4 linked regions of the Saccharomyces cerevisiae S288C genome follow. The gene in region 4 interacts genetically with the main gene of each other region. Each region holds a gene or a part of one and is shown on either strand. Other genes may lie near its edges. The genes, in order: ETR1, RKR1, CTS2 and HUL4.

What was found.
Region 1: mutations in HUL4 (region 4) and ETR1 together harm fitness more than expected from each alone (negative genetic interaction), as found in Saccharomyces cerevisiae (2 studies listed by BioGRID).
Region 2: of HUL4 (region 4) and RKR1, changing one enhances a phenotype caused by changing the other (phenotypic enhancement), as found in Saccharomyces cerevisiae (one study listed by BioGRID).
Region 3: mutations in HUL4 (region 4) and CTS2 together harm fitness less than expected from each alone (positive genetic interaction), as found in Saccharomyces cerevisiae (2 studies listed by BioGRID).

The regions. Positions count from the first base shown.
Region 1 is NC_001134.8:291,834-296,573, forward strand, and holds ETR1 (enoyl-[acyl-carrier-protein] reductase), read right to left. Parts: upstream 2,187-4,740; coding exon 1,044-2,186; downstream 1-1,043. Other genes in the region: OLA1 (Obg-like ATPase), read right to left, coding at 1-32; YBR027C (uncharacterized protein), read right to left, coding at 2,191-2,523; putative protein kinase YPK3, read right to left, coding at 2,592-4,169; CDS1 (phosphatidate cytidylyltransferase), read right to left, coding at 4,536-4,740. UniProt on the Saccharomyces cerevisiae protein: Catalyzes the NADPH-dependent reduction of trans-2-enoyl thioesters in mitochondrial fatty acid synthesis (fatty acid synthesis type II).
Region 2 is NC_001145.3:762,367-770,640, forward strand, and holds RKR1 (ubiquitin-protein ligase RKR1), read right to left. Parts: upstream 5,674-8,274; coding exon 985-5,673; downstream 1-984. Other genes in the region: YMR247W-A (uncharacterized protein), read left to right, coding at 6,917-7,060. UniProt on the Saccharomyces cerevisiae protein: E3 ubiquitin-protein ligase component of the ribosome quality control complex (RQC), a ribosome-associated complex that mediates ubiquitination and extraction of incompletely synthesized nascent chains for proteasomal degradation.
Region 3 is NC_001136.10:1,216,886-1,222,269, reverse strand, and holds CTS2 (putative chitinase), read right to left. Parts: upstream 2,858-5,384; coding exon 1,322-2,857; downstream 1-1,321. Other genes in the region: VPS74 (Vps74p), read left to right, coding at 121-1,158; DXO1 (Dxo1p), read left to right, coding at 3,160-4,488; XRS2 (Xrs2p), read left to right, coding at 4,690-5,384.
Region 4 is NC_001142.9:499,063-505,442, forward strand, and holds HUL4 (putative E3 ubiquitin-protein ligase HUL4), read right to left. Parts: upstream 4,330-6,380; coding exon 1,651-4,329; downstream 1-1,650. Other genes in the region: DNA-dependent ATPase RAD26, read left to right, coding at 1-1,550; MLO127 (Mlo127p), read left to right, coding at 4,874-6,380.

The sequences.
Region 1 (4,740 bases), on a different chromosome or scaffold from region 4:
TTTTTTTCTTCGACTTGCTTCTTTGGAGGCATGTTTTACAGTGCTATTTATTTGATTGTTTTTACGGATACTAGAAGTAACACAAAAAGCTAAAAAAGGCAAAATGCAATAAAAAATTAGTACTAATTATCAACTGAATACACTACTAAATACGATTTCTCGCAACGAAAGGTATGAGAGAGAAGACGTAAGTTGACTTTCACTGCATCCTTCCTTTTGGGTCATAAAATCGCTGGGATGGCCCTTGAAAAAATTTTTTCAGTGAAAAAAAAAAGAATTTTCGAGAAAAAAAAAAAATTAGGAATTGTGCGTGGTCATTCAATACGGAGAATTAAGTAACACGCAACAACTGCATTCTGCCTTAGTTGTCTCAAGGCAAATTGGCACCAACAATATGAACTTGTTGTAAAGCTCAACTCCAAAGAAGGGAAACTACTCAGATTTGTTTTCTTCAGTTTAACAGGCGTATCTTCTGCAAATCTACTACGTTTCCTACCGAAGACTTCGCTCTACGAGAATTCTTAGGTTTCTACGAGTTACGCGCCCTTCTTCGAACGCCATTCTCAGGAAAAATTGCATTTACGTAATCTTTTGTTCTAATTGATATAATGGCTATTTATACGTAATATCATGCTTAAGAACCAAGAAAGCCAATAATGGCATTCGGAGGAAGCAATCAGTGAGGAAAATTGTTGATTAAGCTAGATATTTCTATATCTAGTAGATCTTGTCAAGTTGAAGTAGCGAATAGGACTCCTGTATTGCTATTGTGATGTTTTTTTATTGTACAGTAGTTGTATAACTTATCGTTGGTATTAACTACCGTTTGTTTATACATCATGCTCATTATCTCGTCCTGACTAATGTGAAAGGATCGATATATACATTGAAGGGTCGACGTCCCCTTTTATTAGCTCCTACAAAGATAGCACTGGCATATATTTTTTAATGTCTTGGTATATATTATATAGCAACTATACTCGATGTCATAAAGAGGAATACTATCTTTGGTGGTTGTCTAACTCTGAGCAATGCTAAGGCCCTTACCATTCTAAAACAACCATTTTTTTCTTCCCCTTCCCAGTTATACCTTTTTTGACTAGTTCTAGTAACTGTTCGTCAGTAGTAGTGTTAGTATTCCAGGTAAGAGTTTCAATTTCATCTCTTGGTGAAATAATGTGACCATAATTATACATTTTGATAAAATCACTGATGGTGTCAATCTTGCTTTGGGGGTTTTTTTTGTTCTTTTCAGTCACCCAGTACCCTTTGGATGTCAAGCCTTTGAAAATGTGTAGAGATGTTGGTAAAGTTACAGGTTGTTTTGACATTCCTCCATAAGTGAGCATCAAAGCATTATTTTCCAACTTACGTGCTATTGATGCACTGGATTTACCTCCAACAGAATTCAAGGCAAGCCTCACCCTTGCATTTTCACCCAAAATCTTGGACAATACTTCTTTGGCAAAAGTCTTGTCGTTGTTTTGCGATTCGGAAATAACCTTCGTAGCACCATACTTATCCTCCAAAACTTTTGCTACCTCATCAAAATTATCACGGTCACGTATAACACTTAATGTTTTGATCCCTTTAGCTTTTGCTACTTGCGTAACTATTTTTGATACACTAGATGTACCGGCATTTTGGATAATCCATTCATTACCGTTACTGTTCCAGTCGATATAGTCTGATACTAATTGGAAACCGGTACAACCATTAACAGATACAGTTGCCGCAGAAAACAGATCCAAATCATTTACCTTGATTAAATCAGAACTACTAGAGAAAACTCTATAATTGGACCAAGTCCCTTGATTTGCCTGCAATGGGATAACTCGGTCACCCAATTTCAAATCTCCCTTGGAACTTCCCGAAGGTAAAGAAACAACTTCAAAGACACCCTCATTACCGGCGATAGCGGCTGGCTCATCTGTGGAGTAATCGTATGTCTTTTCTGGACGAGACGGGTATACTCCTTGCAACTGATTGATATCCGAAGGGTTTATGGGAAAGGCCAAAGTTTTTAACACAATTGATTGAGATAAGTCTTGTTTAGGCGTATAATTTTTCACTGACAAAACCTTGGTACAATCCTCAACTTCATGAGTTGAATAGATGAGCGATTTGAAGTGCTTGGGAATCTGATGAGCTGAGGACGACATGTAACGTTTGAATGTGGGAAGCATCTTGTTATATCAAATGTAATTGGCAGATTATGAACCTTCTTAAATGACAATGTACGTTTGTAATCTCCAATTTCTTTAGCCATGGAAACAACCCCTGGGTACACCACTCGTGCGTCCCTTGGAGGAGAACCACTCTTTTAAGGTAAAAAAAAAAGCACCGGCGGGGTCCAATAATGATAATAATACCATAAATAAGGAAGATGGTATCACCGATTGGTCCAGAAGTATTATCCATACAGTTGTTTTTAATATTATTACATACATTATATATTAAAAATGTGTTTCGTAACCCTAAAGCAAAACAAAGTATATACAGTGACACAGATCCTTTAAACATCAAAAAAACAAAAAAAAGTAAGTCAGTGCAGATCCGAGCCTTCTCTCTTAATCTATCTAACTTTTAATTCAAAAGTACTTCTCCAAATAGCTACCACTTGCTTTATAACTAAATCCCTTGAACATATCCGGGGACTTGCTCACCGAATTGATATTAATCGGCTTGCTATCCGTATAGGTTTCCTCATATGACATAGAAGTAAATTCTGTGTCAAAATTTTCCGCTAGTTCCAAATCCGTAATAACTGGAACAATTGGGCCTAGAGTGGTTTTTTGCAATTGTCCAGATTCTAATAACTTCCAGTCTATTTTTCTAAAGATAAAATGTTCAGTGAAAAGACTAGTTCTTGCAGCCCCTGATTTCTTCTTCTTAGACTTAGTAGGCTTATTATTAGCCCCGGTTTTGGCCCAGTATTTGTCAACATTCCACCTTTTGGCAGTTTCCTTCTTCAACAGCGCGTTTAATATATCTTTCATTCCCTCGCTCAGATAAAATGGAATTTTGGGGCCTTGCTTGTTTTGTTGAATCTTATTAATGATCACCTTATGATTGCTACCAGTATATGGAGGCTTACCTACTAACATGTCATACAACAGACATCCCAAAGAATACCAATCACAATTCTGACTGTAAGCTTTACCTAATAATATTTCAGGCGCACAGTATTCAGGCGTACCGATAATCGAGTATAGGGCATTGACGTTCTCTGGATCCTCCTCATCAACCGCGGAATCATTAGCACTTTTTTTACTCAGACCAAAATCTGTCAATACTAAATGTCCACGTTGATTCAATAAACAGTTTTCAGGTTTTAAATCTCTATAGACAACACCTTTCGTATGCAAAAATCTCAAGGCACAGCTGATTTCTGCCGCGTAAAACGAAACTGTCGTCTCATCTAGGGTCCCGTGTTCCTTCAAGTGGTAAAATAGTTCACCGCCAGGGATATATTGTAGCAGTAAATATAACTTTGAGTTATCGTGAAAAGAATAAAATAACTTGACAATGTTTGGATGTTCTATTTCAGATAGAATAGACCGTTCGGCAAATGTTCTCTCAAGCCTCTTTGATAATCCATCGTCATTATCGTTGTTATTACCATCATTTTTATCTTCGTCTTCTCTCTTGGAATCTGTGGCTGTTTGAGAAATTAAAATTTCTGCTTTCCGTAATTGCTTCATAGCATACAGCTTGGATGTATTGACGTCCTTAACAAGAAGAACTTTACCGTAGGCACCTTGGCCTAGGACTCTCACGGGCTTAAAATCGTGCAGGTTCCTTGATAATTCATTTTCTCCAATATTAGAGGAAATAATGTCCTGAGGTGTTATGGATAGTCTATTCGTATTAGTTCGCATTGCGTCCGAACCTGTAATAGAAAATCTTCTCGTATTTGGTGGAGTGAGAATAGGGAATTTGGAATAAGCTGAGGACCTTCTTCTCATCCTATGTGCAGGACTCATGCCATTTAGCGGAATCGCATTTGAATGAACCGAGAGGTGATTTATACTCTCCTCATATGTGATGGAGCTGCCTTGTTCATGATTGATATCATTGTATATTGCCGAGGAATAATCTACTTTAATGTCATTCTTTTTATCATCTAGTGACACACGATGAAGTTCTTCATCTAGTGAGAAAATCATCCTAATTACTGCCAACAGTATGCTCAGCTAGATTGGTTGATGAAAAATCTTATCATAGGGCACCTTCCAGGTAAAAGATCTACTTACTATTAGTCAGTACGTCCTTTTTTCATTTGTTTATAATTTTTTTTTTTTTTTTTTTTTTCTCCTCTCAATATTTTAGAAGTAACATGACAGAGCAACACGTTTATTTTCCTACATATAGTCATAAGTATAAAAACGAGCGAGAAATTTTGTTAAAGAATTGATATCATATTTTATAATTTACATAAACTAAATAGGGAAAGAGTAGTATAGCGTGCATAAGTTTGAAAAAAAAAAACTATTCATACACTCATATATACTTTTATATGGTCTTTTTTATATTCAAGAGTGATTGGTCAATGATTTCTTGGTCACATTAAAGATGTCAGCCAACTTTTCAAAATTCTTCGCTGATATTATACCTTTTTTAGATAGGAATCTAATCAAGATATCAATCAATTCTATAATCTGCTTGTCGTTCAGGTTCATTAAAATAGTGGATAAAACTGTATCTACTGTTATTCTGTGTTCGCTGATGAATGTTTCA
Region 2 (8,274 bases), on a different chromosome or scaffold from region 4:
TGCACTATAGTACACCAAGTTTGAAAATAAAAACCTCGCCCACGTTCATTTATGCAACAAGAAAAAAACTCCCATCACAGTTAGAAAGCAATGAATAAAAGCCATGCGTAATAAATACATTCAGAGAGGATGACGATAAAAAAAGAAAAGAAATCACGAGGAGAGTAAACCAATATAAAAAGAACAAATTCAAAAAATTTTCTTATAATAAACCTTAACATGGAGTTTCCGTTAACACACTATATGGAAGCGAAACGTGTGAATCAACAGAATCAACCACAGCATATCATAAACCTGAACATAGACACGACTGAAAAACTCAAACGTGCTATACCGCCAAGCAGAAAATCCATTTGCTCCTACTTTATTTTCTACGTCTCCTTGCAATCTCCGTTCCATTTTATCATCCTCCCTCAAACTGAACACACCCCTCCACCAGGATTAATTCATAGCTTCCGTCATGCTACCTGAATATTTTAGGGTCCGGTCACTTAAAAATGAACGCGTTCATAGCAAGGCACATATATCCAAAGTTAAAATGAACAAAGTGCATCGCATAGTTGTATATGCAATACAATCAAATTTCCTCAAATAAAAAGAACAATTGAGAGAATGAAAAAGGAAGAAAAGAGTGATAATTTGAGAAAAAAATAGCTAAACAAAACGATAAATGATTTTGATTGAAATATTTCGGTGCAGTCCTTTTCCGAAAATTGGGGACATTCAATAGAATTTCATCAATGGTTATCCCTCTTTTAGTAGCTAAAAACTGAAAACAAGGCCTGAACTAAAAACCATTCTTCTTTCAAGTTCGATTTTTATCCTGAAAAAATCCTGAAGAGAAAAAATTTCCAGAATATCCGGGTGATGGGCTGGATTGGCAAGGTATAGGGCTGGATTGTATAATTTGTAAGAGAGCACAATAATAAAAGGAACTTTGTTTAAAAAATGTAGTACATTTATATGAAATTTATATGCGATAGTCTACCTTCTAAATGGAATTTCACTACGGCATAATGGACATGTATTGTTACCCGATGATCGAAACCACTTGTAAAGACATGCTCCGTGGAACTTATTTTTACAAGTCGGACATGTCTTCGAAGGTAGTTTCCTATCCACGGCATGTAGTATAGAGTAACATATGGCACATTCCTCGAAACCAGAAAATTGTAAGTGCACATTTTTAGTAAACAACTCCAACGAATCCAAAACGGATCCATTCATGCCTGTAATTACATGTTGTGTAGACATTATCCATTGTTTCCATTTTTGTTCACTTATACCAACTCTAGAGACGCCATTAACTTGGATATTTGTTAAAGGGTAGTTTTTTGGTAGTTTGAAGGAAATCTCCAACTTTTGGTCGTCAATCAAATAGCTTGCCTTCACTTCATTAGTAATATTATTTAATTTAATAGTCAAAGCATCATCATTAGAAGTCAGGCGGTCCATCTTAGAATTGATATCGTCAAATTCATTTTTGATCAAAATTGGGGAGATGAACTCTGAGACAAACTTTTCAATATCATTTTGTAATGTCCTATCTTTTATATTTAACCACCAAATACTCGTTAGACAACCGACGTTGTTAAACAACTGATAAAGTGTATGGCCCAAAAGTTTTTTACATTCTTCAAATATGTCTTCTTTATAAGGAGAGAAATTATTGCCGACAATGTTGTATTCCGAAATTTCCTTGGTGTCGACCTGTTTCCAAAACTCAGTATCTCTTAAATCTATTTGATCTGTTATGAAATCAAACATTCTATTGATTAAACCAGCTTCCTTTAATTGTTCAATAAATATTTGTCTCATATTATAAGACGTATCTTTGAAGTACATCAGTATCAAGTGCCAATACCATAGATATTTAATAAATGAATTTTTATTCTCGTATTCAAGGTATTCTTTTGGCACCTCATCAGTAACTTTTTGTAATAATTTTTGAGGTAGTTTAAATTTTGAGTTTACATCATTATCAGATGCACTACCATCTACGTCTGAGCCAGTTTGTTTTTGAATCCTCAGTTCATACTCAATTATAATATCCTGCTGTGTTTTTACCACCAAAGAACCCAACAAAGTAGTTAATAATCTTGATTGATTAATATTACTACCGATATCCTTATCATTCAATACAACCTCGAATATTCTTTTGTATTGAGATTCTAACTTTTTGAGTTCCATTGAGGAAATGACCTTGTACAATTTCTGGTAGAAGAGTGTGGATACTTGGTTATTTCTTTCTTGATTAAAGTTGAGAAACATCAGTTCAATCAAATTTTCTTGAATTTCATCACCATATTCTGAGATTTCCTCGCCATTTTTGGAAACGCCTTGCGACAATGTTTCATATAAGTTCAAACAGGAAGAGCGAAGTTCTAACAAATATAAAGTGTCATCAATTTGACACATCGATAGAGAGTCTGCCAGCAACCTTTCCGAAAGTTCAAAAGCTGTTATGCCCATATCTCTGACTCCTTCAAACCTCATCAGTTTGGTGAAAAAATCTAGTAGTAACAATCTAACGGTGCTAAAGCTAGGCTCGTAGGCAAGATCACTATCCAACCATTTTAGTATTGAACGGAATATCATGTTCAGTCTCTGCGGTGCTATAGGAACAAACTGTTTATCTGCCTGTGGGATATCCAGCAGATTATTTAAAAGAGCTAACGACTTGAATTCTTGATCGACAAGTTCTACTTCTCTAATCCCAATCAATTGAGATGCCAGCAATGTCCTTAATTTCGTTATCTCATCTTTTGAGTTGGACCTGTTAAACATCAATAGTAATATAGCACATAGGAGATAATCTTTATCAGTAGATTTTTGATCCCTCACAGTTTTCGTGACAAAACTTTCAACCGATGCTAATAGCCCATTTAATGTGGTGGATGAAACAGTATCAATGCTGTTCAATAGAACCTTATATAATACTCTTGAATAATAAAAAAAGTAGACAGAATTACTTTCAGCAATATCAAAAGTAAGCATAGCATCACCACCATTAGCAGGCTGAATAACGTTTCCAACAATATCAGAAAAGTTCAAATTTACTTTGCCATGTTTGAAAAAGGTATGCCCAAAATCATAGTAAAGATCATTTGGTTCCTCTGAAAGGCAATTATAATCAGTGACGAGCTCAGAAACTACAGTTATAAATGCAACAATATGGTTATTAACGCGCTCTGGAAGAGCATCAAGTAGGGCATCTAAGAATAGAGCATACCTGATGAGCTTTTGCATATTTTTTAAATTGATAGGCTTATCATCTGTAAGGAGCAAATGCGTGTTAGTACTTAAGCTGCTCACTAAGGATGACCTATAATCAATTGCTGGCATATATCTGGCAAAAACTTCGATTGCGTTAGCGGGAAAAAAAATCTGAGAAGTATCGTTGCAGCCATTAATTAGCTCCACGGCGTGTGTGACATATTTTTCTTTTGCCCCGGGGCTGAAATAAACCTGAGCATGTTGCAAAATCACTTGGGCCAACTTATTAGCGATTTCAGAATTCCCTTTAGCCAACTGTAATGACAACTTGAATAGTTTCTCATTAGTGTCTTCTGAAACTTCATACAATGCACAAGAAAGAAAATCGGTATTCAGCAATAACGTTGAAAAAAAAGTTTCATCTAATTTAGACAAAACAGCACAAAATTGTTCAACTTGGCCATTGGCAACTGCGCTTCGGTAAAGTGTGGTGATAGTCCTTTGATTTAAAAATTTATTATTACCTTTAAATATTTCCCCACTGTCGTCAAACTTATAATTTTTCATAAAGTCTTCAATGTACAATTCTAATTCTAGGGAATCTGATTTCATTAATTGTTGATAAATATCATTGTCCAACTCATTCATTGTGGCTAAAATTATTGTCTTTGGTAAGTTAAAAGAAAGCGCAACGATAAAAAAGTCTTCCAACGAAGTAATCGCGTCAGTATTCATTTTGAAAAATTTGGAGTTTGAGTACTGTGCCATGATACCAGCAAAGTTTTGATATGTTGATTCTTGGACCAACGTTGGAATTTCGTTTATAAATTTCCCTATCTTCCCATTCAAGAAAATCATATCTGAATCTAAAAAGTAATTGAGAGCATCATATACACCGTCGTATTTGTTGAAAACATTTGAGGGATCTGTTTCGATTAATTGCACAAAAAAATCGAATAAACGACTAATTGCGGATTCGTTATTAGGAGAAGTAACCAATAAAGCAAAAAGATTCTTCTCAAAGCTCACCTTTATTTTTCTTATGTCTTCGTCTGAAGTGAAGTAATCTTCAATCTCTCTCTCCCATTTATCGGGTGGAAAGACGCCACTAAGAGTCTGGTTCAGTTTTGTGTACTCAGATAAAGATTTCCCGCAAGACAGAGAGTTAAAAATCTCACTTTCCACCATTTTTTTCACTCTTTCTTCTGATGAATCCTCAGCGAACTTCAAAAAATTTGTCCAAAACTCATTAAGAACCTCAGCGCTGTTTCTCGCAGAAAAGCCCTTTTCATTCAGTCTTTGCACCGATTTTTGCCAAAATGGAAGCCATTCAAGATAATAATCAAGAAAACTGTGTCTTTTAGTCGAGCTGTACAATGCAAACACAGCATTGAAAAATCCTGGCGATGGTGAAGTACGGGAAACCGATAAAAATTTGAGTACTTTTTCTTTAGAAGATTTATCGTATGACCATATTGTCCCATCTTCATAGTCATCCAAGGTAGCTAAAAGGTTCAGTATTGATGGGAGAACAGGGCATACTTTTAGAATATTCTTTGACGTAATATGAGTCAACGATTTCAATAGTTTTTTCACCGCTAACTTCATTATATTTTTGTGGGAAGGCATGTAACCTCTTGTATAAAGAACATCAATCAATCGAAGAACTGTTTCGTAGGCATTTGTATTTTGCCCATTTTTTAAGTTAAGTAGTTTCCAGATTGACTCATCAGAAAGAATCACCTTAAGACTGGAAGAATTACGTTCTGAGACGTCTTTGTTATGAACAAAAAGCTTAATCAGCAGCAATACGGCACTTGCTATAACTCTGTGGTATCTAAACTCAGATTCTTCTTTACTGGAGTAACGTTCATCAGAAATGGTATCTTCATTCTCGTTTACAACAATCTCCTTTACTAAATTCAATAGTTGTTCTTGAAAAACAGCCCATAAGGCGTTAATTTTTGCTGGGTCTTTGTTGAAACACTCTGTTAATTCATTAAGAGAAGGTTTGGAAACACTATAATCGAGTTCGCATGTACCGAGAAGTATCAAAGGTATAAAATCCTTTAAAAACTTCGATATTTTCTTCCGAAGGCTTTTGACAAGCATTATAGTAATTTGATGTGATTGCAGTCTGATGACCTTGTAATCACTAATTATCAGTTTAGCATATATCTGCGACCAACAAAGAAGAAAAATGTCATTGAAAAAGTACTCATTCTGGTTAAAGTCGCTGATCAAATTGGAAAGATCCATTAAAGCTTTTTCTTTTGTAGTTTCATCTCTTTTCAGAAGAGATTTGAAAATGAGTTTCAGCTCGTTCGAGTACAAGGAGTTTAAAAGACTTGGATCCGGCAAACCATCAAAGTAGTTTAAGGATATTCTAACACCATTATGGCCGAGCCCTAAATCTGTGTTATACTGTTGAAATGTATTGATTCCACCAAACGACATTAAGAACCAACTATTGCTTGAACTTTTTTTGATGGCTTAGCAGATTTGAACTATTAAGAAGGACTTCTTCAGTATTGTATATATTGAAGAAAACCATCTGAAGTTGCAACATTTGAATTTTTCCTATGACGTTTTTTTTCCTCGCTTCATCAATATTTTTCAGTTTTCCATGTTGGGGCATAATCTGGGTTAACTCGAATTGACAAGTATATAGTCAAGCTGGAGGTAAGAAGTACGTAACATTTAAAGAGCATTGTGACGATATTCTGTTCTTGATTAACTATAATTTTAAATATGAAGTTACACTAATTGCAAAGTAGCAAAAAATTTGGACGAGTCCGGAATCGAACCGGAGACCTCTCCCATGCTAAGGGAGCGCGCTACCGACTACGCCACACGCCCATTTCTTATTGTAATTTCTAGCCACTGTAAAAAGTGAAATCAGTTTAAAATGGAAGTGTCTATCAAAACTTACTATCCACTATCAAGTAATTACTCATGATTGTCGTGTTGGAATAAAAATCAACTATCATCTACTAACTAGTATTTACGTTACTAGTATATTATCATATACGGTGTTAGAAGATGACGCAAATGATGAGAAATAGTCATCTAAATTAGTGGAAGCTGAAACGCAAGGATTGATAATGTAATAGGATCAATGAATATTAACATATAAAACGATGATAATAATATTTATAGAATTGTGTAGAATTGCAGATTCCCTTTTATGGATTCCTAAATCCTCGAGGAGAACTTCTAGTATATCTACATACCTAATATTATAGCCTTAATCACAATGGAATCCCAACAATTACATCAAAATCCACATTCTCTACATGTCGGAAGAGGAACCACCTACCCCCTATAGTCTAGCATCCATCTTATTACATATACGACGTAGAAATATGGCATAAAGGTAAAGATTTAAAAGCTGCCATCAAATTTAATGGGGGTGGAACGCACGACTTGATAATGCAATAGGATAATGAGTGACAACATATAAAGTGGAACGAGAAACCATAATATTATTATGAAGAATCATCGATCCTTTTATGGATTCCTATATTTTCGAGTAAAACTTAAGGTATATTCGGTATAAGATAATGTTGTCCAAATTGTATTGTTATGGAAATGGTATTCAACAACTATCTCAAAAGTCACCTATTTCCCGTGCTTTTCGCATTCTATCACCTGTATTATTATATTGCATGATATCAAAAAGATGAATCATTCAGTGTAAATGGCACACAAATGTGCAAGTGCCAAGCTATTGAGTGGAATAATGGCCTTGTTATTTAATGGTAAGAGCCTTCTGAGGCCAATCTGCCTTCACGTACACAACCACCTTGTTAGTAACAGTGATACCAACATAGTTTGGCCGTGAGGCTAACCTTAGTGGTTTATTGCAATACTCAATACTGTTCTTAGACAATTATCCAACCATCGCCATTAAATGATAAAAAAATAAATTGACTGCTTAATTTTGCTGATACAATGCACTATATTATCGGCTGATGTAATGGTATTGTTATTCAACCTCCTCTCGGCATTGCAACATACTAATAGCCACCCTAGGGTGTCATTAGCATGCCTATACCGAGGCATACGAAAGCAACTAGCCATCAATTCCATCACCCTGTCATTCAACTCCGCTTCATGATCAGGACAGTTTGCACGTTATCAGATAAACTATGATACCGCTATTATTGAACTCTCTATGATATTCTATGAGCGTTTCTATTAAAAAGCTTGAGAGAACAGTAGGTTCCACTTGAGCTACATCTGGGTTGATAGTAGGGTCTGACATTGTTACTGACTGACATTCGCATAATTTGGTACCGGTACAAGCTTTGGCACATGTTCGTGATACCTTCGTCTGGTTTATTCATTGGCGCCAGTTCTCCCATTTTGGACGATTCTTTTCAAACAAGGTCTTAGGATTCGACGACGTGCTAGCTATAGCACAAGGCCAAGAATTAACCCAAAAACTGTATATTGTCTCTGCCTCAATGCTATCCGAATATCAAGCCCGCAAATATGGACAGATAAATCCAGTCTACCATATAGTACTCTGGATTCTTCCGGAATCAACTGCTGACTTTCTATATATGTAGCCGCATCTACGTGTTCAGATAGTTTTTATCACGCAGGTTGCCGTTTATACTTTGTTTTCTTGGAAGTATCTCGAGTAACAGTGATGCTCAGTCTCGTTTAGAAGAGTGTACCTTCCCGGGTTCCTAGGCGCTGATGCTGGTAAATTCTAGTTGGTTCTTGACATTTTTCAAATAATCAAATCATCTCATTTGCGATAGCAAATGTACAACGTGTGAAAGTAAAGAAGTTCATAGTATATGGGCTGTTCAAATTCTTGTTCACTGCGTTTATAAATAATCTTTCTGGCAAGTTAGACAAATTAAGAGCAAGAGTTGCATAAGAGCAGCATATAAATACACGTCAATTTAGGCATTCTTGTGATTATTAAGTTCATCAGAGTGAATTAGAAATTCATTATTTTACTATTTTTTTTTTTTCACCCTTAACAGCAAGGTTGAACTCTATAAGGAAAAGGGATAGATCGTGCGGCACACCAGAAAAAGG
Region 3 (5,384 bases), on a different chromosome or scaffold from region 4:
GCTAACAAATAGAGCTAAATTAGCAGTTTCATTGTTGGCTATATTTTCATTACAACTTTTGATCTGATAACGTAAAAGAATTCAAACAAAAACTATCTAAAAAAATACAAAGCAAAAATCATGTCTACTTTACAACGTCGTAGAGTCAATAGGGCGGATTCTGGAGATACTTCCTCCATTCATTCTTCTGCTAACAATACCAAAGGAGACAAAATCGCAAATATTGCTGTTGACGGGGATGATGACAATGGAACAAACAAAAAGATTGCATATGACCCAGAAGAATCGAAATTGAGAGACAACATCAATATCCCTACGTTAACGTTGATGGAAGAAGTCTTATTGATGGGCTTAAGAGATAGAGAAGGATATTTGTCGTTTTGGAATGATAGTATTTCATATGCTTTGCGTGGTTGTATAATTATAGAATTAGCGTTAAGAGGTAAAATCAGAATCTTAGATGATTCCGCCAGGAAAAGGTTCGATCTTTCCGAAAGGTTGATTGAAGTTATTGACAGTTCCAAAACTGGGGAAGTTTTACTGGATGAAACTTTGCAATTGATGAAAAACGACGAACCTTTGTCAATTTCTAACTGGATTGATCTTTTAAGTGGTGAAACATGGAACCTTTTAAAGATCAACTATCAATTGAAACAAGTAAGGGAAAGATTGGCAAAAGGTTTGGTCGATAAAGGTGTATTGAGAACAGAAATGAAAAATTTCTTTTTGTTTGACATGGCGACACACCCCATTGCAGACGCCAGCTGCAAAGAAGCCATTAAGCGCAGAGTACTTTCTGTACTCGTATCGAGGAACATGGAATTAAGTTACAATGAATATTTTCCGGAGACAACATCTTTCAAAATCATTAGAACTTTAGCTTTAATATGTGGATCATATGGGGCAAACGTATTGGAGAATGTCCTGACTACGTTGGAATATGAGAAGAGAGATAAGGCAATTAGTAGAGCTGAAGAAATAATGGCACAATTTTCGCAATACCCATTTGATTTAGAAAAGGAAACTGAGTTAGGTGTCTCCGTTAATTTAAACAAGGAAGTTAAAGAAGAGATAGAAAACAATCCTGGTCATGATTTACAATTGGAAGTTATTGCTGGTGTATTTGAAGTCTTTTCAAGAATGGATATGCTATTATGAAAATAACAACAAAAATCCTCTCTTTGAAACATAAGGAAAAGTCAAGCTTTTTTTTATAAGCCTCTAACATTAATAAACGAAATTTGTATATATGTATATACATATACGGAGTGGATAATAAATAGACCAAACTTTTTGTTATTATATACGCCCACATTCGTATTCATTGCTTTCTTGAATCCAAATGCTTTAAATATGGAGATAAAAATCCGCCATCGCCATATTTATTCAAGTAATATTTTTTAACTCTCACATCTTGAAATATTGATGGTTTTGATGACACATTAAAGTGCAAGCCTTCATTAAATGCGTTTATCAACGACCTTGACTCATTTGCATAAGCTTCACCACATGACTCCCACCAAAAGCCTCCGCCTAAATTGTTATGTGTCACATATTCAGCCTTAGTTTTGACTGATTTAGTGTTATCATAACTGATAAATATTGAATTTTTTTCATCAAAGCAATATGCTGAAACATATTTTGGATCGTATTGTTCTATTGTACCAATCTTTGGTAAATTTTTGTAAGGCCAGATGCCCTCCTTGCCATCAGCTTTATCTATTTCTTTAGTGGGCTTGCCCACTCCTTTGAAAATTTTGTTAATTAATACAGTATTTTGATTGAATGGTTCGAATTTGTTATCTTTGATATGGAAACTTCTTCCGTAGGCGGCCATTCCCAGTACTAATTTTCTAGAATTGACGCCAAATCTATCGATCATATAATGCATGGCAAAGTTTCCATTCAATTCCGTCTCACTGAATAGATTGCTGTGATATCCTGTTGTTTCTGACCACGAGCCATAATAATCGTACGTCATCATATTCCAGTAGTCAACATATTGATCAATTTCTGTGATTGGCAAGTAAAATAATTTATCCTTGAATGCAGGTGCCGCAATAGATAATTGAAAATGATCTTCAGTACGTTTCCCAAATATTTGGGATTCGAGGCTGTTTAGTTTTAATCGCAGCATTCTGACCAGTTTCAGATATCCGCGAGGTTCTGATTCATTGTTACCAGGGAACTCCCAGTCTAGATCAATGCCATCAAATCCTAATCTGAACATTGTTTCCACCGACGAATCAACAAAATTTTGTAAGAGTTTATCATCTTTAATTATGATTTTGAAATTTTCACTATCAGACCAGCCCCCAATTGACATGATAACTTTAAATTTCTTATCAGAACAGGTATTCTTCAAATAAAATAGTTCACCAATGCAACCTAAGGGTAGGATGTTTTGGACACTATTGTTCGAGCTTTCTTTAATTAGTTCTGAATTTTTAATTGCCAGCGATTTATACAAATTCATTTCTAGATCAGACCAACTATCCGTGTTTTCTATACCACCAGTTCTAGAGTTTATTTTGAAAAATGCATAGTAAATGTGAGACACTTGCTTCAAGTTTATGTCGTGAGGGAAATGAAACCTCGGTTTGTATGGGGACCAATTGGAATAATAGACCCCTGATATAAAGGCTTCGTCTCTTATATGGGTTCCATGATTTTGGACATTACTGGGAACTCGATGTCCGCCATTGTTAAAGTTGTCTCTAATATCATCCGACCTTTGGTTCTTAAAAATTTTATTATATAAACACATTTCAATAATAATCGTTATAAAGATAAGTAGTATTAGTAGGTGAGACACTAAGCTGCTTTTTGATCTGTGCTGAGCTGAGTGTCCTACCATATGATCACTCTTGTATCGTCTACTTATAGAGGTTGTTAGTACCAACCTGCAAATACAATTGTTGGACCATACTACCACAAAAGGTTCTTTTCGTTGGTGTATCCTCACAAATAATGATTATTCCACCAAAATCACCAAATTATTGTGTCAAACTAACTGGGATTACCCCACTATTGATTTTTCCAGTTTTTCCGCAATTTTCGCAGCATGTTTTACTTTTATAATGGCATTGTTGCATTACAGCGCCAGTTGTAGGTATCGATGATTTTATGTCAAAGTTTTCTTTCTAGCCAAACTCAGTTATGTCAACTGAACAAGATGCTGTTCTTGGATTGGCCAAAGATTTAGAAGGTATAAATTTGCTTACTGTGCCCAATCTCGAGAGAGGACACCAAAGTAAATTATGCAAAGAGAAAACTACTTCTGATTCATCTTCGTCAAGGAAGCCTTCACAACAGAGAGACAATTATAGAAAGAGACGTCCGAAACTTATATGTATCCCATATACGTCTTTTCTGCATACTGGTATGCACAATTTTTTGACGAAACCACCAAGAGATATATTTCATGAAAGTAAAGAAGTAGCTCTGTTTACCAATGGCCGGGCTTATACAATCCTACGCAAAGACCTTATACCAAATTTGAAAGAAAGTATTGCTGAATTGTATGAAAGCTCGCTTCTTGAGGCAAAAAAGCGGAAAGTCCCGTATTTAGGCCATGACTTATTTGCTAATATTGATGAGTTCGTTCCCATGACAATATCCGAATTAGATAGTGTATCACCGTGTTTTTCATACATTGAGAACTGGATACTAGATAATCCTGGTAAGGATTTTAAGATCGGCAAGAAATTTACTGTTGTAACCACAAGACATCATATCGTAGATTTGACTATGCATCTCTTTAACAGGCGAAATAGACAAACGTCACTAATTGTAACTTATATGGGGGCGGGCCTTCTTTCATTTTGCAGAAATGTAAAAAAAGATTCTCAAATGTCCAAAGAGGGCATTTATTCAAATGATCCAAATATGAAGAAAATTTGCTATTCAGGATTTGAATTTGAAAATTGGGTAACCGAAAATTCCAAAGTCGCTGATTTAACTGGCTCTAAATGTCCTATTTTTTCTCTTGTAGAGAGTAAACTTTCAGAAGAAATTGGTCTTTTAATTCGCTGCGAAATGGATGCATTCAATCCTGTTTCGGAGACAAACACAGAACTAAAGTGTTTTGCCCCATTATCAATGCACAATTCCAATCATAGGAGAAAACTTCTGAAAACGTGGGTACAGACGGGTTTATTACCGAACTCAGATATCATGATAGGTTTGAGGGACAGTCATAGCGGTCAATTACTAGACATTCAATGGTACTCAAGGGACTTATTATGTAAGAAATTCAATCACCCAGGTCTACCTACAAATAAAAAGGAACTTAACTATAATGCCCAAATTGCGGTAGAATGGTGTCATTATTGTATTGAAGCAATTTGTAAGCTGGTGGAGGCAAATATCTCTGACTATAGCAGTACAAAACCAGAATCATTTGAAATCGGTATAGATACTAACAACGCCATCGTCATCACTAAACTTAAGACTACTCCAAGAAACGTAGAATTATTTGGAATGTAGAGACGTGTATAATATATAATACTTTTCCGAGAAATATTTCATTTTCATTTTCGTAAAGTTGTTAACTACGCTAAATATTAGTACTTTTCTTAAATTTATATGGGGAGCCCTTTTTTTCTATGAAAAGCAATGCGTAAACCAAATAAGCAGAATTTTGTAATAGATGAGCAACAATACTGAGAAGGTGATAACTATAAATTTATGTGGGTAGTACGATACCAGAATACATTGGAAGATGGCTCTATTAGCTTTATATCATGTTGTCTTCAGGCCTTCAAAACTTATAGTATAGGTAGATCAAGTAAAAACCCACTGATAATTAAAAATGATAAAAGTATTTCCAGACAGCATATCACATTCAAATGGGAAATCAATAATAGTTCGGATCTGAAACACAGTAGCCTGTGTTTAGTTAACAAGGGTAAATTGACATCATTAAATAAAAAATTCATGAAAGTTGGCGAAACATTTACTATTAATGCCTCGGACGTTTTAAAGTCCACAATAATTGAACTGGGTACAACTCCTATTCGTATAGAGTTCGAATGGATAAATGAAGTCTGGAACATTCCTCCTCATTTGACACAATTCAGGACGATGCTTTCTGAATATGGTATCTCCACTGAGATTTCTATTAATGATATTCCCGCTAATCTGATGATTAGCGATTACCCAAAGAGCGAGGACAACAGCATACGGGAATTGTATGCCCTTGTTAGTACTATACCCATGAAAAAATCACGGTTTCTGATGGAATTGTGTAATACTCTTCTTCCCACATCTAAAACTAATTTAAAATTTGATGAAATGTGGAACGATATGATTAGTAATCCGGAGTACAATGTTTTTGATTTTGATCCAAATATTTTGCTTTCGAAGTTTATGAGGCTGAATAA
Region 4 (6,380 bases):
AAGCTGATGTTGCAAAAGATCTGCCACAAAAGAAAGAAATGGTTCTCTTTTGTAAGCTTACGAAATATCAAAGAAGCAAATATTTGGAGTTTCTGCATTCTTCAGATTTAAACCAAATACAAAACGGTAAGAGAAATGTTCTATTTGGTATCGACATTCTAAGGAAAATATGTAATCACCCCGATTTACTTGACAGAGATACAAAGAGACATAATCCAGATTACGGTGATCCTAAAAGATCCGGAAAAATGCAGGTTGTCAAGCAATTATTATTACTGTGGCATAAGCAGGGCTATAAAGCCCTACTCTTCACTCAATCGAGACAAATGCTCGATATTCTAGAGGAGTTTATATCAACGAAAGATCCCGATTTATCACATTTGAACTACCTACGAATGGATGGGACAACTAATATCAAAGGGAGACAGTCGTTAGTTGACCGGTTTAACAATGAATCTTTCGATGTATTCTTACTAACCACAAGAGTTGGGGGGCTAGGTGTTAATTTAACCGGTGCTAATAGAATTATCATTTTTGATCCAGACTGGAACCCATCTACTGACATGCAAGCTCGAGAAAGGGCATGGAGGATTGGGCAGAAAAGAGAGGTATCAATATATAGGTTGATGGTAGGAGGTTCAATAGAGGAGAAGATTTATCATAGACAAATATTCAAACAATTCTTAACCAACAGGATTTTGACTGATCCTAAGCAGAAACGATTTTTCAAAATTCACGAACTCCATGATCTGTTTTCACTGGGGGGTGAAAACGGTTATTCTACAGAAGAATTGAACGAAGAAGTTCAAAAACATACCGAAAATTTAAAAAATTCCAAATCAGAGGAAAGTGACGATTTTGAACAACTGGTCAACCTATCTGGCGTATCTAAACTAGAAAGCTTTTATAACGGTAAGGAAAAAAAAGAGAATAGTAAAACAGAGGATGATAGATTAATCGAAGGGTTGCTAGGAGGAGAGAGCAATTTAGAAACCGTTATGAGTCATGATTCGGTTGTCAATTCGCACGCGGGCAGTTCTTCTTCGAATATAATTACAAAAGAGGCTTCCAGAGTAGCGATTGAGGCGGTTAATGCGCTAAGGAAATCGAGAAAAAAGATCACTAAGCAATATGAAATTGGGACACCTACTTGGACAGGTAGGTTTGGTAAAGCAGGTAAAATTAGAAAGAGAGATCCGTTGAAAAATAAATTAACTGGATCAGCTGCCATTTTAGGCAATATTACAAAATCACAAAAAGAGGCATCCAAGGAAGCTCGCCAAGAAAATTACGACGATGGTATAACCTTCGCAAGATCCAAGGAAATCAATTCCAATACCAAAACGCTAGAAAATATTCGGGCATATTTACAGAAACAGAATAACTTTTTCTCATCTAGTGTTAGCATACTTAACAGCATTGGCGTCAGTCTTTCTGATAAAGAAGACGTTATTAAGGTTAGAGCATTATTAAAAACCATAGCACAGTTTGATAAAGAGCGTAAAGGGTGGGTGCTTGATGAAGAATTTAGGAATAACAATGCTTCATGAAAACTTAGAATGGACAGAGTACCCTTGACGTAACTTTACCCATAGAAATATCTATAAAAAATATGTATGTGTTATGTGTATATGTATATTCTGAAGACTCTTAGCGGAACCCGTAACCTTCAGATTCATTAATTGCCCAAAGTAATTTCAGTTCTAGTTTTTTTTTCGAGGAATAATTCCATAAACATATTTCATTAAAACATGTATGAGCCAATGGCAAATCATCACTATCATGCGACCCTAGCAAGCTAATTTTGAATGGGATAGTAGAGATACCCGTTGCAGGTATACGATCAGATGCCGTTACGAATTGTAATAATTTCTTCTGCAATGGATAGTCCCAACTTTCAATAATTTCCCAAAACCAGCAAACCGCTCTGGAATCATCGGAGAAGCCACCTACATACTTTGTCACGGATCTTAACGATTTGAAATCAAATTTAGTTTGTTCCTCATCACCACACACTAATCTCTCCAGCTCTTCAGAATTAAATAATTTTATAGAATTGCATTCTGCGAAGACCCTTTTAAAACCTGAAACAAATTTATTGTATTGTGGCTCAATGGACTTTTCCAGATAAAATTCTACCCATTTCATGACAAACTCATGCTTGTTACTTTGGGTTATTGGCACATTTCTGCCATTTTCACATAATTCTACCGTTACATACTCTTTGCTCGATTTACTGTCATTTAAAATCCAGTTGTTATTTCGATACGTAGTCTCAAATGTTAAAGAAAAGACGTCTTCGAAATTATCCTCTGTGTAATTGAGCATTTTTATTAAGTTCCTACTTGTCTCCGGAAACAATTCCGAGTAATCTTCAAAACTCAGAGGCTCTGAGCATAGTTTTTTATAAAGCGCCTTTGGAAATTGTAAATCTAATATGGTACTGTTGAAAATCGCCAACCCCATGACAACTCCAAACAAGTAATATAATTCCAGTTGTGAGTTTTTTCCTTTTGATTTGTCAAAATTTGGAGGGTCAATGGCAAACCATGAACGTGAGCTTTCTTTTATGTAAATAAATAAGCCATTCATCGGATTAAACAGCGATTTTGTTAATAAGAAAAACCATTCTTTTCTCAACCCTCCCGCATCAATTCCAGGTTCATTAACAAACTCTATTCTCAGCGATTTTAATAAATCGCCTTGATGTTCCTTGATACATCTCAATGAATCATGAGAAATAACGTCACGCCGTACTTTGATTTTGAAATAAACGTCTACGGATTTGCCTTTATCCAGTGAAATTAAAAAAGCCTGTTCAGCTTCATGTTCCATGATTCTGCGAATTTCATACTCCATAATAGAGATTTTGATGCCGAGTGACAATATAAATGGATACTTACAGAATGAAAAACATTTTTTTGTCGTCGAATTTCCCCACTCTTCAATCAGTTGATTCATTTTTGTCTTTTGAGCTACTCCTCTCCAATGATCGAAATCTTGTTTATAATCTATGAAGTCTAGCGTTATATTGTAAAAGCTTTGAATTGACAACGCTCCACGGCCATTTCTTCTAGTATTGGCTACATAATAGATGAACGTCAATTTTGCTGCAGAGTGAATATGCCAGTCTTCCTCATATTGAAAAAATTTAAATTTCATCTTATTATTGACGGGATGCGTGAAACCACTTCCCTGTTTATCATTTGATTGTGCACTTATTGGTCTAGTACTCAGGAATTCATGGCCAGTAGTGTGATGCCGACGAAGACGAGATCGCATCTCATCTTCAGGCTTCACGTTATTTTTTGCGGTTCTATTTGATAATTCGTTCGACAGTAATCTGGAAAATTGGAAATTGATGTATAAATTTAAAATCTCTACCTGGTATGAAAAATTATCCGTAGGCGTTCGCCGTAATGATTGAATCAATTGTTGAGATGTTTTTGTTGATAGGTTAGACAAGTAGCCAATACATCGTTTGGCCAACTCATAAGACACCGCCCTTATTTGTTGGGTCTCAAACACATTTTTGCTCTTCCGATCTCTAATAAGGCAGGTTCGTATTGTAGGTATATTTAATATAATCAGCAACCAACGATACTGTAATATTTGCAAATTTTCCCCTTTATTGATTGTTATTCTCTTCAGTAGATCGTTACAGCAACACAGCATACTATAATACGGTTTCCTTGTAGGAAGATTTGATAATATACTGTAAAATCTTTGTAAAACTTCATAATTCAGCATCTTTATATTCTTTCCACCATCATGTACCAAGAACGACCTGTTTAAAATGCTAACATCATGAAATCTGTCCAGTAAATACGTTATTACCGGTTGGAAAATCAACCCCTTTCTTTCTTTATCCAGAATCCCAGTCTTCTTAAGCCGCTGCAAATCATCATGGCACCGCCTTACTACCATCTGCAAACCCTCTAATGTGCACGAAATATGCGTACTAGATTCCAAATTACTGTTAATTTCCGGCTCCTTTACAATAACTGTTACTTGGCATGCGCTGCATCGAAATTTCGTTATGGAGGCTGGAAACCGTAGTGGGACACCACAACATAGGCAATTAAGTGAAATTAGACAGGATTTATCTTCTTCCCCTGACACGGATGCCGAAGAGTTCCGCTTATTGCTTTTGCTATTTGAGCAACTTCCGTCCTTTACACTAGCGGCTAAGGACCGTTCCGACGTGCGCCTTCCTGATTTGGGTAACCTGTTCTTAGTATGGGCTACAGAATGTGATAGCAACTCCTTCGACACAGATCCATCTCTACCGTCTTTTTTTGCATTAAGCTTATCAAATAAAGAAACCATTTCCTATTTTACTTTACCTATCAGCCGCAGTATTCGAGAGATATACCTGGTAAATTTCACCAATGCCCTTAAAAATATGTACTTTTCTGCTTAAAGTCGAGAAATGCATGCAAAAACTTGCCCCTATCTAGCAATCCTTCGAATATATTTATCTATCTACCTGTTCCACATGGGCGGTTATACCTGACTCTTCAAAAAATCCTGTAACCTCCATTTTTTTCCTTTATTTGGGGCAATCACAAAAAAAGGGTCCCAGAAAGATATGACCCTACTCCCTTTTTGCCTTATTTAAAAGTGCTAGGAGATACAAGGTTAAAGCTAGACCTCGGTTAACGATGGGTCTTGACACGTAGGCGTTGCTCTCCTCTCCATAATCATAGTAAGTTGAGACAATCGTATACCTCCAAAGGAAGCACTTGTTGGCTTGACAAGAGACTCATGATAGACAGGAACGAGAGTCAGGGTAATTGGATAGTGGAAAGATGAAAGCAAGAGAAACGATGCAAAGAGGAGGCTGCCCAGGGCTTGGCGTATCCAATTTCTCATGCCAGCAGGGAGGATTCGTATAGCGATGACTGACAACATTATAGTAAGTGAGGTTGATGGTCCCCCGGATGTAGTTAAATGTTTTATTAGGGAAGAAGATGGACTCGAAGGACAGAGCCGAGAATTGGTGGTCATAGGACTAGAATATATAGATGTGTTTGAAGGGGTAGAACAAGATGAAGCGCGCAAGAAGTTAAGACTTAGGACTGTCGGATATACAATGGCAGCCTTTTATTTCAAAGATCATACTGCACCTAACCGAAGATTTTATATTCTGTTGAAAGCCACGGGACGGTTGGACTTCGTCAACCTTGATTACAAAATAGTGAAATCTCTGGAAACAGGAATTGATCAGGTAAGATCAGAGCCAAAGTTCATGTTCCAAGATCCACTACGAACAGCTCTGGTTTTTAATTTGTCATGCACTGAAATTTACGAGATTTCTACTGAGGACATTTTTTGTTTGGAAGAAACAGACGTTAAGCTGAGTTATGTGACATCCTCACCGATAGTATCCATAGATGCGTGTATCAATTTCAATGATTTCTTAGATAAGGATGTCTTTACGTTGTCGATTCTCACACGTGCACACAATGAGGTTGCATATAAGTTGGAAGCATGCGTGTGTGTATTCGAGTCTAAACCAGCCAAAGGAACGAAGTGGCAAAGAACTACCAATTTAACATTTGTGGAGGAAGCAACGGTCTCACAAGTACTTCTCAAATCGGTCACCAATATTGGTCATTTTGTTTTTACGCCATGGAAAACTTATTTTATTAAACATGCATTGTCATCGAAACAGACCATTGATGGTAAAACGGTAGACAAAATATACCAAGGGCCTGGTGCCTTTGGGTCTGATAACATGGAAAGAATCGAACTTTTGCAGCCTATTTTAGCGGATACCACATTAAATCATTTAACATTTACATTTATGACGAGTACTGCAATTCTAATAACATGCAGAATGAATGCAATCCTTAGCAGTTTTGAAGACGATACGTATATCTGGGAAAAGGCCTTGTTTGAGAGGCTTCCCATCAATGGTGGTTCCTCACATGATCACTACCTTGCAGCGTTTTTCAATGAGAAGTGTTGGATACTGGTATCCCCAAAGGGCCATCTTACAGTATATTCAGTCAGAAATGAAGGGCATAGTAATTTTGTTCATCTTGGTTCTTTTCTTTGCAAATCAACCTTATATTCCGATTTGATAGGGAACTACACCAAGTCACATTTATCTTGTGGATCATTACACTGTGGGCAGGGATACTTGTGCTTGAAATTTCGATCGTGTGGGGACATTTTCGCGTCCACTTGCATGAAGCTACTTTTCAAAAGTAAAGACAGTGTTCCTCGACAAGTTTACTCTACAAGAAAAGGTATCTATTGGGCAGATGTGAATAATAATGTTTACAGAGATAGTGAGCGAATAGACTTTGAAATAAATGGCAGTTTCATTGCTACTAAAGATGGAACTCTATTGAAAGATAACACTATCGTTA